Linked DNA regions of Alligator mississippiensis. The protein of the gene in region 1 binds, or shares a complex with, the protein of each later gene. Links are inferred from orthologs where the notes say so. Each region holds a gene or a part of one and is shown in the gene's direction. Other genes may lie near its edges.

Evidence for each region. Proteins that work in one complex are often made in the same cells at the same time.
Region 2: PIGQ (region 1) and PIGP share a complex: the UniProt entries of both Homo sapiens proteins name them as parts of the glycosylphosphatidylinositol-N-acetylglucosaminyltransferase (GPI-GnT) complex. The link is inferred for Alligator mississippiensis from reciprocal best matches to the Homo sapiens genes PIGQ and PIGP.

Annotation. Positions count from the first base shown.
Region 1 is NC_081836.1:27,004,334-27,011,828, forward strand, and holds the start of PIGQ (phosphatidylinositol N-acetylglucosaminyltransferase subunit Q), read left to right. Parts: upstream 1-4,487; 5' UTR 4,488-6,344; coding exon 6,345-6,401; intron 6,402-7,495. Other genes in the region: NHLRC4 (NHL-repeat-containing protein 4), read left to right, coding at 3,038-4,153. UniProt on the Homo sapiens protein: Part of the glycosylphosphatidylinositol-N-acetylglucosaminyltransferase (GPI-GnT) complex that catalyzes the transfer of N-acetylglucosamine from UDP-N-acetylglucosamine to phosphatidylinositol and participates in the first step of GPI biosynthesis.
Region 2 is NC_081824.1:295,040,195-295,047,033, reverse strand, and holds the start of PIGP (phosphatidylinositol N-acetylglucosaminyltransferase subunit P), read left to right. Parts: upstream 1-3,821; 5' UTR 3,822-3,969; coding exon 3,970-4,051; intron 4,052-4,057; exon of another isoform or gene 4,058-4,240; coding exon of another isoform or gene 4,241-4,283; intron 4,284-5,321; exon of another isoform or gene 5,322-5,374; coding exon of another isoform or gene 5,375-5,423; intron 5,424-6,517; coding exon 6,518-6,590; intron 6,591-6,839. UniProt on the Homo sapiens protein: Part of the glycosylphosphatidylinositol-N-acetylglucosaminyltransferase (GPI-GnT) complex that catalyzes the transfer of N-acetylglucosamine from UDP-N-acetylglucosamine to phosphatidylinositol and participates in the first step of GPI biosynthesis.

The DNA of each region.
Region 1 (7,495 bases):
CAATTTTGCTATCTGCTAGCTATTCCTGGTTTCGTTTCTTCTATTTCACAGACTTGCAGACTGTTTTTAGCTCTTTTCAAAATCATAGATCCATCCATGGAGACCAGTCTTTAGCAGCAGCTCAGGTTTCAGCTTTTGGGTAAGCAGGAAAGGCAGCATGAGTGAGCTGGTGATTAGCGAGTGCCAGGAGCCAGCTGTGGGCATCAGATTTCATAGATTTCATAGACATTAGGGCTGGAAGGGACCTCAGAAGATCATCGAGACCAGCCCCCTGCCCCAGGGGCAGGAAGTCAGTTGGGGTCACAGGATCCCAGCAAGATAAACATCCAATTTTCTCTTGAATGCGTTCAGAGTAGGTGCTTGAACCACCTCCGATGGCAGGCAATTCCAGACCTTGGGGGCTCAGACAGTAAAGAAATTCTTCCTTATGTCCAGCCTGAAATGGTCTTGCAGGAGTTTGTAACTGTTCAACCTTGTCATCCCTTGGGGCACTCTGGTGAACAATCGCTCACCCAGATCCTGGTGAACACCCTTGATAAACTTATAGGTGGCCACCAGATTGCCCCTGAGCCTGCGCTTTTCCAGGCTGAAGAGTCCCATAACTCTCAGCCTGTTGCCGTAAGGTCTCTTTTCCTGACCTCTGATCATGTGTGTGGCTCTTCTCTGGACTCTCTCAAGCTTCTCCACAACCTTTTTGAATTGTGGAGCCCAAAACTGGATGCAATACTCCAGCTGCAGCCTCACCAAGGCCAAGTACAACAGGAGAATGACACCCTGAGATTTGCTTGAGAAGCATCTATGGATGCAAGCCAGCGTTTTGCTTGCTTTACTAGCTGCAGCATCACATTGAAGACTCGTGTTCATCTTGTGGTCAATCATGACCCCCAAGTCCCTTTCATCCGTAGTGCTAGCCAGCGTAGCACTGCCAAGCTTATAAGGATACTGCAGGTTTTTCCTCTCAAGGTGGAGACCCTTGCATTTTTCAGTGTTAAACACCATCAGGTTCTCATCCGCCCATTTCCTGAGCCTGTCAAGGTCAGCCTAGATTGCCCTCCTGTCCTCAGGTGTGGATGCTTTACCCCAGAGTTTGGTATCATCGGCGAACTTGGCCAGTCTGCTTCTGACTCCAATGTCCACATTATTAATGAAGATGTTGAACAACATAAGCCCAAGAACAGAGCTTTGAGGGACCCCACTGGTCACAGGGCACCACGATGATTGATTTCCATCAACCACCACCCTCTGGGTCCGACCACGGAGCCAATTCTTCAGCCAGTGAATCATGGTGGACCTGAGGCCGCAGTTGGCCAGTTTTGCCAAGAGGTGATCGTGGGATACTAGATTGAAGGCTTTTTTTAAGTCAAGATATACAATATCAGTCTCCTCTGCCTTGTCCAGGTGATAGGTCACCTGGTCATAAAAGGAAATAAGATTGGTCAAGCAAGACCTACGCGCAACAAACCTGTGCTGGCTATCCCTCAGGATGTTGCCATCAGCCAGTCCTTTGAGAATGGCCTCTTTGATGATTTTTTCTAAGACCTTCCCCAGGATAGAGGTCAGGCTGATGGGCCTGTAGTTTGCCAGATCCACTTTCCTCCCTTTCTTGAAGATAGGCACCACATTGGCCTTCTTCCAATCTTCGGGCACTTCACCAGAGCACCAAGAGTTCTGGAAGATCCGTGCCAGCAGCTGAACTATGATGCTAGCCAACTCCTTGAGTACCCTGGGGTGTAAACTTTCAGGGCTGGCTGACTTGAAGGTGTCCAGCCTCTCAAAGTGTTCCTTCACAAGTTCAGCATTGGTGGAGGGCAATGAATCTCCCTCACCTGGGCCTCCCTGTCCTGTAATGGGCAGGGGCATCCCGTGGAATTGATGAAAGACTGACACAAAGTACCCATTTAGTAAGTTGGCTTTTTGCTGGGCATCGGTTGTCAGTTGTCCCTTCTTGTTTAGCAGGGATCCAATGTTGCCCTTGCTGTTCCTCTGGCTCCCCACATATCTAAAAAAGGACTTTTTTATTATCCTTGATACTTGTAGCTAGTTGGAGTTCAGTTGCAACCTTGGCTTTCCTTGTTCACTCCCTGCAAGTCCGGACCAGTGCGGAATATTCCTCCTTGGAGGTGGATCCCATCCTCCATCCTTTGTAGGCCTTTCTTTTTTCCACAGGAAGTCTGCTAGTTCCCTGGAGAGCCAAGGGGGCTGCTGTGCCATTTTGCTGCCTTTCCTCTGAGCTGGAATAGCATTAGCTTGTGCATCCAGGATTGCTCCGTTGAGGAGCAACCACTCTTCCTGAACTCCCCTCCCCTTTGGGTCATGGTCCCTTAGGGCCTCACCAACAAGCCTCCTGACCTTTCAAAGTCAGCTTTCCTGAAGTCGAGGACTTCTGTATTGTTGACTGTTTTGCCAGCTTTACGGCAGATGGTGAAGGTATTCAGCTCATGGTCGCTGTCACCCAGCTTCCCATCGATTGTTAAGTCACCGATGAGGTCATCTCTGGTTGCCAGTACCAGGTCAAGCAGCGCTTTACCTCTCATTGGCCTGTAGACTTCTTGTGTCAGACAGAGGTCATCCACGCATGAGAGGAAGCTTTGCGACCACTTGGATTTAGCCGAGTGCTCTTCCCACGAGATGTCTGGGTAGTTGAAGTCTCCCATGACAACCAAAAAACAAAGATGTTTACTTTTAGGGTGCAGGCTGGTGATTATGCAGCCATAAGTCTGGAAAAATCTTTTTTTCTTCATTCTATCTTCTATTTGGGGAGGTGTGGTATGTGAGAAAATATGGTACTCCAATGCAGAGTATGGTGCCCTATTCTTTAGAGAGAACCAGATGTCGCTCTGCAAGGATAACTTAGTCTTTGTTTATCTTTTTTTCTTAATATACATCAAAAAAGGGACTGGAGTCTGATATCAGTTATATGGGTGTAACTCTGGAAAGACTCCATTGCACCAAAGGAATGAGTCTGTCCTCACAATGTATAGCTCTATGAGGACTGTAATGGTTGTGTTACCTTTTCCAAACAGGGGGGAGATTAGCCATGGACTATACTCTGGAGGCCACCCATCATAAAGAAAAACTTCTGAAGACTGTTTATGCCCTCCAGGTGAAATCAGACACTACACTCCAGAAGGCAAGCCCACTTCTGAGCAACCACCATGGGATGGGCATGGTGACAGAGCACCAAGTCCACCAGCTGGCAGAGAAAGTCAAAGGCATCTGTCATGACTTAGACAACATCAAAAATCTCCTCTACTATCGACAGAATAACCTGGTGCAGCAGATCCCCAACCCCAATGGCAGCAGTTACGGGGGACCAAGTGGAATCCATTGCTCACTGGATGGCTCTATCTACATAACTAGTGAAAATGCACCCTGTGTCCACATCCTTAGTTGCTCAGGCCAAACTCAGCAGCTCCTGCCATGCATAGAGTGGGGAAGGGAAAGTGAGGCCTTTTTGCCAGAAGATGTGACAGTGACAAGGTCAGGGATGGTGGCTGTAGCTGACATGTTGAACAGAGCCATCTGTGTCTTCAGCCATCACTCCAGGTTCCCCAAAGGAGAATGGATAAAAATTGGGAAGGTCAATTCCCCCAGGGGCATTGGAGTGGACTCATCAGGAAAAATTCTGGTTACAGACTACACTCAAGGAAAAGTCCACAGCTTTGCACTGGACCATGCCTTTAAGATACTGAGTACTCACACGGTCTCTAACCTTTGTGGACCCCGTTATGTCAGCCTGGGACCTGATGGTGGATTTCTTGTAAGTGAGGAATGCGGTGATGTCAAGCTGTTTAATAACCAGCACAAGTTGGTTTACTCTCTTGGCAGCAAATATGGGCATCAGTTTGGCAACCCTTCTGGGGTCTGTGCTGACATAGAAGGTAACATCCTTGTGGCTGATGAGCAGCACCGAACAGTCCACCTGTTCCCCAAGAGTGGTTCTCCCATCTGCCTGGTGTCTGAAGGGCTACGGAAACCAACAGGTCTGACTTGTTCCACTTCTGGACAGCTTTTAGTAGCAGATACTGGGGACAATTGCATCAAAGTCTTTAAATACCGTGTGAGACCTGCCTACAGTTCTGATGCTCCTTGGGTGTCCTGTGACAGTCCCAACTTAACCCCCAGACAGAGGACAGGATCGATGCCACTGTAACCCCAACTAATTCATTTTTTTGTCAGTTATTGTTATGGTCCAGTCACCCTCATTGCAATACCCCATGTTTTTGGCTTTCAGTGACTCCTGTTGGTAGAGGCAAGAAATAGAACATATGATTTCTACCTGAGTTACCTCGACTGCGTCGATGGCTTTATGATAGCTTACAGAATCTTCCCTATAATTCTCTTTGCTGTTGCTTTCCTGCTGAACAATAAAGGTTGTGCCTTTCCAGATGCCAGAATGGCTATGTATCTTAAACACATGCTCCCCCTTCAAAATGACTGTGGTTTCATGCTTATGGCATCAAGAAACATGGTATGTGAATTGAGGATCAAGACTAGGACTGACAGAGTATGTTATTGTCCAGAGTGCTTTGTTCACAATAGACTTTATTTGAATGGGGTAACATTTTAAAGATCTCTGATTATCTGTGGTTCTGATGTTCCTGCCTGGCCATAACTGGTGAGAAACTAGCTATGCACAGAATGAAAGGCTGAGCAACACAGGTAAGGAGAATATCCACAAAATGCAAGGAATTTCATACTAGAGCAACTGGAAAGATTGAGAGACTGAATTCAACATATTTCTGCAGTGCACATCATACACACATACGTATATGCACAACTGGAGAATGAGTGCCTATGATACCCAACACAAATATAAAACTGGGAATGAGTACCCTGTACCTTTGTAATGCAGCTCTCATATGCATACTGCATACACACAAAATCACATGCCTCACACATCAGCAGTGAGCATGATACACACAGACAGAACAAGCACTGAGGAACCTCACTTCTGTAAAGAATGCTGCAGGTACATGCTCCACAGCTGGCCCTCAGTGCCATATGCCTTCACAGTGAGCATTAGGTAACCAAAGCTGGGACTCAGCACTTCCCCATTGTGTGACACACATTTTGCACCAGCTTGGAATTCAGAGACCTTGCTTCGGAGAACTACACACATAAGCCTTATCAACAAAGGGCAGTACCATGCAGAATGGGTGTGGGAGAGGAGAGGAAAGGCATCCCACCCGGGAGGTGTGGGTAACGGTTCCTTTCAGATACCACCCAGGCTTCCCGCTAAGACTTGTTCCCCCTGAAGCAAACAAGAATCTGCAAATCATGGGCCTGGTTTGCCCCTAGTGTAACTCAGCTATGGAATTTTACAGGGCCCTGGAATTTGTACCAAAGAACGGCCTGATCTGAAATAACAACAAACTGCAGTCTTGCTTCTTTCATCCCAACAGATTTTTCCTCCTACCCTGCCACCTGCCAGGGCACCCTCTACAAAAGGGCTGGCCAAGCTGGCGTGCTTTGGATCACCCCAAAAATCCTCTTGTAAAACCATACCAGGTTAAAAGAAAATGACAAAATAGTACAGACAAAATCAGGTAGGTGAATGAATGGTTCAGGTGTGGAAGATGAGCTCATGAATATCCTTTCACTCCCATCTGTTCCTCTTTTTCCAACCATCCAAAATCAACCCCCCCGCAGCTCCAAGATTTGAACTCCAGCATGAAAGACCCATCTGCCGCAAATCTTTTAACTCCTTTGCCTCTAATTCTAAGATGCCCAAAGCTGTCCAGAATACTGGTGTATCCACACTCCCCAAACCACATGGCATTCATAAAAAAGGATGTTCTAGTTTGGAGGTCCAGCAAATATAATTACTTTTTGAATACATATGCCAACCCAAGACAGCCTGAAGAATTGTACATGTGTGTGCACATTAGGTATGTGTGGGACAGTGGGAGTCTAACCAGGTGGATAAAGACACTGGACGACTCCACTGTCATTTAAAGACCGCACAAGGGACCCTTTTTACCCATTACAGCACTAGATGAACTATTTTAGAGTCAATGTGCATTGCTCAAATCTTGTGGTGAGGGGGCGCCCTATGAATAAATTTGATATGCTGACTTTTTCAGTGGCCCAGAAAATGGTTGCATCAATTAGTTTCAGGATTTCAAAAGTTAATCCAAGCAGGTCTCCCTTATCAGTAGGCCCAGCCCGCTGTTGTAGCAGGGCAGTTACTGTGTGAACTTAGCACATCATGCTTAGTGATATAGTGAAGACTCAGAAAGAAGCAGGCAAGAGAGCAAGCTCATTTCCAGCTGCTCCTGGCGTGGTTTCCATTTGTAGCACAGGCTCAGTACTAAGGACTAGGTCTGTGTCCGCTACAGTCAATGCAAATGCTCTCACTGAAGGCTTCTGGGGGACAAGATCAGACACCGAAAGCTCAGGTAAATTGTGTCTCTGAGTCTGCTTAAAACTCTTGGCTGCCAAAATACAGGGAAAGGGAAAGAAGTAACCAATAGATGTGGTCTGGGATGCAAGACATTTCAAACCATTTTTTTTTTAATTTTATTTTTAACTGAAATTTAGAAATAAAACTATCATTTTAATTTGTTTCAATTTAAAATAACTTGGATTAAAAAAAATAACTCCCTTTTATGTAAAATTAAACATTACTTTTAGTTTTTATCATGGAAAACTGGAATACAAATGTTGATTTCCCACAGGAAAATAGATTTATTTTCATCAGAACTGACAGTTTCAAATGAAAAATTGTATTTTTAATAAAACCATATTTTTGATCAGGAAAACTTTAAATTAAAAAAACTGTTAGCCCTCTGTAAGAGTGAAAGTGCTTCCTTCCACATGTCTCCACATACGTCTGGTTCCAGAACCTCAATCAGCCTATGCATCAGGAGGCTGCCATTTCAGAGAGTTTGCAAGACTGAACAAAGGTAGGCCTTGGAAAGCCTTGAAGTTGTATAACATTTATGTCACAGTGTTGTGTCTGCAGTATGAAGACATTATGAAGATAGTGCTGCCACATTTGAATGCTGCCACATTCAAAGAATCATGACCTTGGATAAAAAAAACATGAGGTTTGGGGGTTTTTTAAGTACATTTTGGGTTTTCTTTATTTGAGATCAACCCTGTAAAAATTAGACAACTGTAAAAATGTTAGGATAAGTGGCATCTAAGGTCCCTGTAAGTGTGGCTTGTGTGGCATTAAAAAATGTCTATAGCTAGTGAAAAGTGTGTGTGACATGCTGACACAGTTGTCACACTGTGTTCTAAGGTGCTGATTTCTGAAGGACAACTTTTGAAGTATGGTGATTACAGGGCTCACTGGGGGCATCTACACGTGTGTCTTAATATGCAGTAGCCTATTCTACTGTGTATTAAAGCAGTGCTTAAAAAACAGGCTAATGCGTTAATGTGCAATAGAATAGGCTACTGCACATTAAGTGTCACCTAAAAAGCGCTTAGCACAACCTAATGTGCATTTATTTAGTACCTCATACTGGCGTCATTAGGGTCCCTA
Region 2 (6,839 bases), on another chromosome or scaffold:
GTTAAGCTGTTCTAAACTGGCTTGTATGTCCAGATGCTTGCAGTTCAAACCACATTTTAAACGGTCTGTGTCTGTCAGTACCTTTTATAACCCTACACGCAATGCAACAAAAATTCCAGTTAGTAAAATACTTAATGAGAAATACAGGCTGTTCCTGAACCTAATGAAAACTAAATACAAGTATACTCATTCAGGGCACCTACAGGAGCCCACCTACTCTGACACAGGCTAATTAGCATGTGTCGGAACATGGGTCAGACACCTGTGTAGGTGCCCTGAATAAGTTCACTTGCATTTAGTATGGAGTCTGCTGGAGCATGCTAATTAGAGCTGGAGCTAGTCAGTGTGTGCTAATTAAGGCTCAATTAATGGAGCTGGATTAATTGAGTCTGCTGGAGTGTGTCTATTAGGTTGTCACATGTATTCAGAGTTCCCATACTTCAAAATGGTGGCAGGAGCCATGCTGAATATATAACATGATGTGGGTGTTTTAATGAGAGCGGCTCTCAGGAGTCACTTAATTAAAGTGCCCCCCCACCCCAGCGCATGTAAAGATGCCCTCAATGACTGACAACAGGATGCAAGTAAACATTAGGAATAAAAAACCAACCTGTAAAAGCATTAGATAAATTTATCTGGGGTTGTATATACCCAGGAGACCCCCTCTACCCATCCCTGCATAACTATCCCTTAAACTATAAGTACCATAACTGTTTACACAACACCACAGTGGATTTGATTTAAATCGTATCAATTTAAATCATGGCTGAAATCACAGGACAGGAAGCCTCAATTTAATCATTGTTTTCTACAAAAAGTGCATCCTTGTTGTTTGATATCCATTGTTTGAACAATGCTTCTTTGGGATAGTTCCCTTTATAGAGCGCGCGCGCGCACGAGAGCGCGCTTCCAGTTCCGCGTGTGGGAAAAGTAGTGGCCTAGAGATAGCAAAAAGTATGGTATACCACTGAATGAGGTTCTAGCTCATTCGAGTGCCAATCATATGGAAAGAAGTGCCTCTTTAAAGGTGTCTCAGTCTCAGTGTAGATTTCAGAACTGGTGTTGGCACTGGTGTGACAGCTTCTGGGTTGCTCTTGCCCCTTCTCTGCATTACCAGTACCCTTGCTCTCATCGCTTAACATTGCGACACTTAAAAGATTTTTCTTGGCTTGAGTTCACCTTATGGATGAACATGTCATATGCTCCAAGATGCACCTCAGACTTGGTACAGGTATATCACCTAGCACCTAAGGCCAACAGCACAGGATTCCTTTCCCGGGGTCAGCATCAATATTGCCTGTACCAATGTTACTCTAGTCAGAACTGCAGACCCTAGTATCAGAGCCAAAAGTATTGAGGGTTTTTTTTGTTTAATTTTCTCCTTTCTAAGATCAGGTATAATGCCTGCTTGCCAGAGCACTTTTTAAAGATATCCTCCAAGCAAGAACTGTGGACACTGCTTCCTGTACCAGACTAAATATGACCTTCACGAACTACTCCAAGGAGTGTGCATCACAAACCTCGTGTCTCTCAAGCAGCAGACAGAGCACTTGTTAGAGATGTACTTTTCTCTGAGGCAGAAAAAGATGTTTCCTGTGTCCACTGATAAGAGTAAAAAGGTCATCACAGGAAGGATAAGTTAAACTCCATGGTTTACAGGCCATGACACAGGAACAGCTGGTCACCCTACTGGCTTTTTTTTTTCCTGGATGTTCCATAGCAATTTTTGAATGAGAATTTAAAAAGAGGTCAACAGCTGTTTCTTCATAAACACCAAGTTCTCAGCTCAAGAAAAACAGAAACCCATGAGATACAGCCAAGGAGTTCTGTTGCTAACACTGGCAGTAAAATCACCCTGAGAGAAGGTGAAATCAACTCTGCTACCTACTCACAAGAGAGCATGAGGTGATAAAGATGATAAAGCCACAACAATTCAAAAAATTCCAAACTCATTCATGTGAGGGGCTTGCAAACCAACAGCAGACAAAGCTACTTGAACAACATGCTGTTCTGGTTCAGAAAAGATGTGAACATTTTCTCCCCCTCAGGCCCCTCCTCTGTGCTCACTTCCCCCCTCCCCCGAGTGGCTGGCCTCCCTCTCTGCCTACATTTTTCTCAGTTTGGCCTGGATCAGCAGGCTATAACACTTCCTGTTTAACAAAAAGCTGATCTGGGTTACAGAATCCTTTTCAGGAACCCATAACCAATGCAAAAAGCCAGAGTGGCTCAAGACAGCTTCTCAAAAAGCAGCATAATCTACTTTGCTCATCAAAATCTAGCAAGAGGCATTAAAATAAAAACAGCAAGGGAGAAGGTATTTCTCACTTAAACCCATCCTGGCACTAAGGTTGTTGGCTGTAGCCGTATTGGTCTAAGAACACAGGCAGACAAGGTTCTTTGGGTAGATGTGATCTCTTTTATTTGACCAACTAGATAGCTGGAAAAACTGCATTTAACCAGCTAGACAAGGCTCGATCTTTGGCTCAATCTGATGTCTTTTATTAGATCAACTTAAATAGTTGGAAAAACTTTTCTTAGCAAGCTTTTAGGTTTAAACCCTTCATCAGGTAAACACCATTTTACCAGCTACAATTATCACCAGGTCAACATTCCCCCTCCCCCAACCACCCTCCTGTCTCCCATTGTCATTCACACCTATTGTCTCCCATTCTCTCTGATCCTCCCTGCCAGGCATTTGCATTTGCACAGACCTGCTATCTGCACACTGGCTTCTCTTCTACCCAGGACAGCACACAAACACCAACAGACTCTCCCCATGCCTGAAGAAGGCTGCTTGTGCCCGACAGCTTGCAAAGAACAGTTTTGCAGGGTATTTAGTCGATCTAATAAAAGATAATCACATCTACACAAAGAAACTTTGGCCCTCACCGTTTTGCAAGATGCTGAATCGTATGGGGGGGAGGGGGAGAGGGGGAAGGATGCCCTGCCCCTTCAGCAGCTGCCTCTGCTAACCACAAACAGCTGTAGCCTGCAATCACCCCCACCACCAACTGCCCTTTAACCAGCACGGTACACCCCCTCACGCAAATCCCGGGGGAATTGTGCAATCCAGACCGGCCACACAGGCGAAGCCACCCATCGCACCCTAAAAACATCAGCCCGGCTCCCCAAACCGGGTTTGTAGAGGCCTAGTGACTAGAAGTAGCTTCCAACCATCTTTCACGCCAAGGCTTGCGGAAGCACCCGAGACCACAGGACCTCGGAGCCTCCGCCTGACCCGAGCAGCCCCTGCCTGCCTTCCTCCACGTGGCAAATGGGCTCCCCCACAGCCACGGGGCGTGGGGGCTGTAGCCAGATCCCACCTCAGCCTCGGCCCGGGCCCCAGCCCTGCGCGAAGCCAACACAACGTGAGGGGGGGGGAAGAGAGACAGGAAATGACAAACCGCCGCCCGCGGGACCCCTACTCACCGGCTCAAGGCTGAGACTCCCAGCAGCCGCTGCACCGCCGCTTCCCGCCCGCGCCGCCGTAAGGGACGGGTGGGGCTCCCGCGGCGCAGCACAACAACTCCGCCCCAGGCGCACGGACCCCTTCCCGCCACCCTATTGGCTGCCCGACTTCTGACGTCAGGAACGTAAAGCATCGATCTTCGCAGCGCCCCCGGGCTAAGGGGGGCGGGGTGGAATTGTGTTAGGTTTCACTCGCCTACGCAAAGGGCCAACCGCGGTTGTTCGCGCGAGAGGAGGGGGGAAAAAAAAGGCGGGGGAGGGTTCGGTTCTCTCGCGCATGCGCGGGTGGTGACGACACTTCTGTAAGGCGGTGAACAGAGGCAGCGGCAGGACGCTTATAGGCAGGGCATAACGGGCTGGGGTGACGTAGCCGATGTTACCAGCCGATTGGACGCGGGACGGCGCCTGCGCAGCGGCCTCCCCACCCTTTCTCCTTCGTCAGCTGGCTTCGACCCGAGGTGGTGACGTCAGTCCCCCGCGCGGAGGCGGGACCGGGCCGCCATGGTAGAGAACTCGCCGTCGCCGCTGCCCGAGCGCGCGCTCTACGGCTTCGTGCTCTTTCTCGCCGCTCAGTTCGGCTTCAGTAGGTGCCGCGGGGAGGCGAGGGCGGGGCCCGGCCGGGCAGACGCGGCCGGAGCTGGCCCCGCAGGGCCGGCGTTGCCGGGTGCACGATAATTATTCGGTTTCTCCGATAATTGGAACCCTTGTACGATGAGCACTCAGTAATGGTAATAAGCGTATTCAAAATGTCCGATCGTTTTTGAGGTAGCGGATGGATGCAGCAGATGCAAAACCCATGTCACTGTCGGGGAATTGTAAGTGATGTTTGGGTTCACTGTCAGCGCTCGCCTTACAATAAAGAAATGCTTCAACTTTTGACTTATTGGCGACTTACAGTGAGCAATATGAAGTAAAGAAGAAGGCTTATTTGCATATTTGTCACTGTACAATAGTTTTTCAGCAAATATGATAATTTACTATTTAGGACCTGGCAATGCTGTCCAGGACAACCCCAAGCTTTGCTTGGCCAGGCGGGCCCAGGTGCAAGCCCAGCTGGGTCTAGTCTGTGGCCCCTGTTTCAGCCACCTCTCCCTCCATGGTCCTCCCGCTCAGAGGGAGGAGGGTCTCTGTTGCTGAAATCGCCCCTTGCCCTGCCAGACTGCCTGCCTTAAGCCAGCCTCAGGTGCCCCGGTGAAGAGTGGTGCCTTGGACCTGCCTCTACACTTTATGCATGACCAGGACCTTGTTCCTCTGCTGCTGGGGTTTGCTGTTGGATAGATCAGGCAAAGCTGGGTCAAGATTGGGGAAGCCACATCTGAAGTCCTGCATCCAGTTTTGGGCCCCTGCTGCAGAAAGTAGATGGACAAGTTGGAGAGAGTCCAGCAGAGGGCAACAAAAATGGGTCAGAGGTTGGAGCACAGGACTTGTGAGGAGAAGCTGAGGGAATTAGGCTTATTTAGTCTGGAGAAGAGAAGACTGAGGGAAACTTGATAGCAGCCTTCAGCTACCTGAAAAGAGGTTTGAAAGAGGATAGAGCTTGACTGTTCTCAGTGGTGACAGATGACAGAACAAGGAGCACCAGTCTCAAGGTTCAGCAAGGGAAGTTTAGGTTAGATATTAGGAAAAACTCTCTCAGTAGGAGGGCAGTAAAACTTTGGAACAGGTTACCCAGAGAGGCGGTGGAAGCTCCATCCTTGGAGGTTTATAAGACCCGGCTAGACGAAGCTTTGGCTGGGATGATCTATTTGAGGGTGGTCCTGCTGTGAGCAGGGGGGTTGAACTAGATGATCTGTGGTCCCTTCCAGCCCTAATTTTCTATGATTCTATGAATCAACCCTTGTCTCTTTTTTTAGCTTTAAAGACTAATTTGGAGACCTATGAGATGTTACTCAAGTAGTTCTCAACCATGGGCTACTGTGACCCCTTTAGGAATGCTGCTGGAGTGTCATGCAAAGGTAGCACTCTTAGGTGCATGCACATGATTACCAAGATAAACCCAGTGACTTCAGACAGTAATCCAATGCATTTAAAATCATTCTGCCCCTGTTGTGGGCTTTCTGAGCTCTCTGCAGGAGAAGACTTGCTCAGTTGTCTTTCTGTAATTAAGAAAGGAGTAAAAGCTCAGCGTTGACATTTTCCAAGGGGTGCCTTGAGTCTAAATGGATGCAGGGGAGGGTGCCTCAAGTCTAAAAAAGGTTGAGAACTGCTAGGCTACTTCATAGCATCTGCCAAAATAAACTGTTGCCCTTGAAAGCCCAGGTTAGTTTCTGAGGCGCTGCCCTGCCTTCTACAAAGAGTTGTGTGCATGATGCTGTTTGTGGGGTTGTCCTTCTCCCTGATATTTTGGACATGCTGGTTAGAGGCTAGCGAAGCTCAAAAGGAGTAGTCAAATTTGTGGGTGATGAAACTGTTAACTGTTATTAGAGCAATTGGAGGTGTATCCTCTGGCATCTCTAAACCAATGATGGTAGATGCCAGGGATAGGATGTCTATCACGCCAGACCAGGCTGGTCAAAACGTTGAACATCAAGTGGATCACAACTCTGCCCACCTCTAGACCATACTGTTGCCGCCACAGGATCCTGGCCCTAGAGCAGCTCCCATCCTGCCACACACCCTGCCAGCACTACTGGGGCCAGTCTCCATGGAAACCCTGGTCACACACTGTCATAGGCCCACAGCTGCTGGGATCTCCACGGAAATGGGCCACAGCATGCTGGAAAATAGAATCCAGCCACCGGCTAGATCCACCATTTTGCCCACCTCTGCTTTAGACATACCTGTTCCAGCCTTTAGATTTATCCCTCTAAAGCATCCACTCCTTTATCCATCAGAGGCAAGATACGAGTCATTGGACTAACCCAATATGGCATTTATGGTCTAGTAAGGCCTTATGGGAACTACTGCTGTAGAGCAAGTTGTCATTCATTATTTGAATGATTTCTAATGACACTACTGTAAGTGCTTAGAACTGGGGGGTTTTTTAATTCTGAAATAATGTTTATTTTACCATTGTGATCAAAATACTAACTTCACTTCTTCTGTACAGTGCTATACCTTGTGTGGGCATATGTTCCTGAATCCTGGTTATTCTCATTGGGACTAACATACTGGCCTCAAAAGTAGGTTCAAATCATTTAGTTTATAAAACTATCCTTGTAAAAATACTTGATAGTCTTTGAACCTTTTTTTTTCAAATAACAAAACTAGAAATGTACCAGTGCTATTTATGTAGCATAATAGGTCTTGCATTTCATCCAGTTTGAAAAAGAAGACTTACTATTGTTCCTCTGACAGACAACTGGAGTATTTTTGCAAAAACTACCCTCCACAAATAATAATTTGCCCTGAAAAATTATCACTGAGCTAAA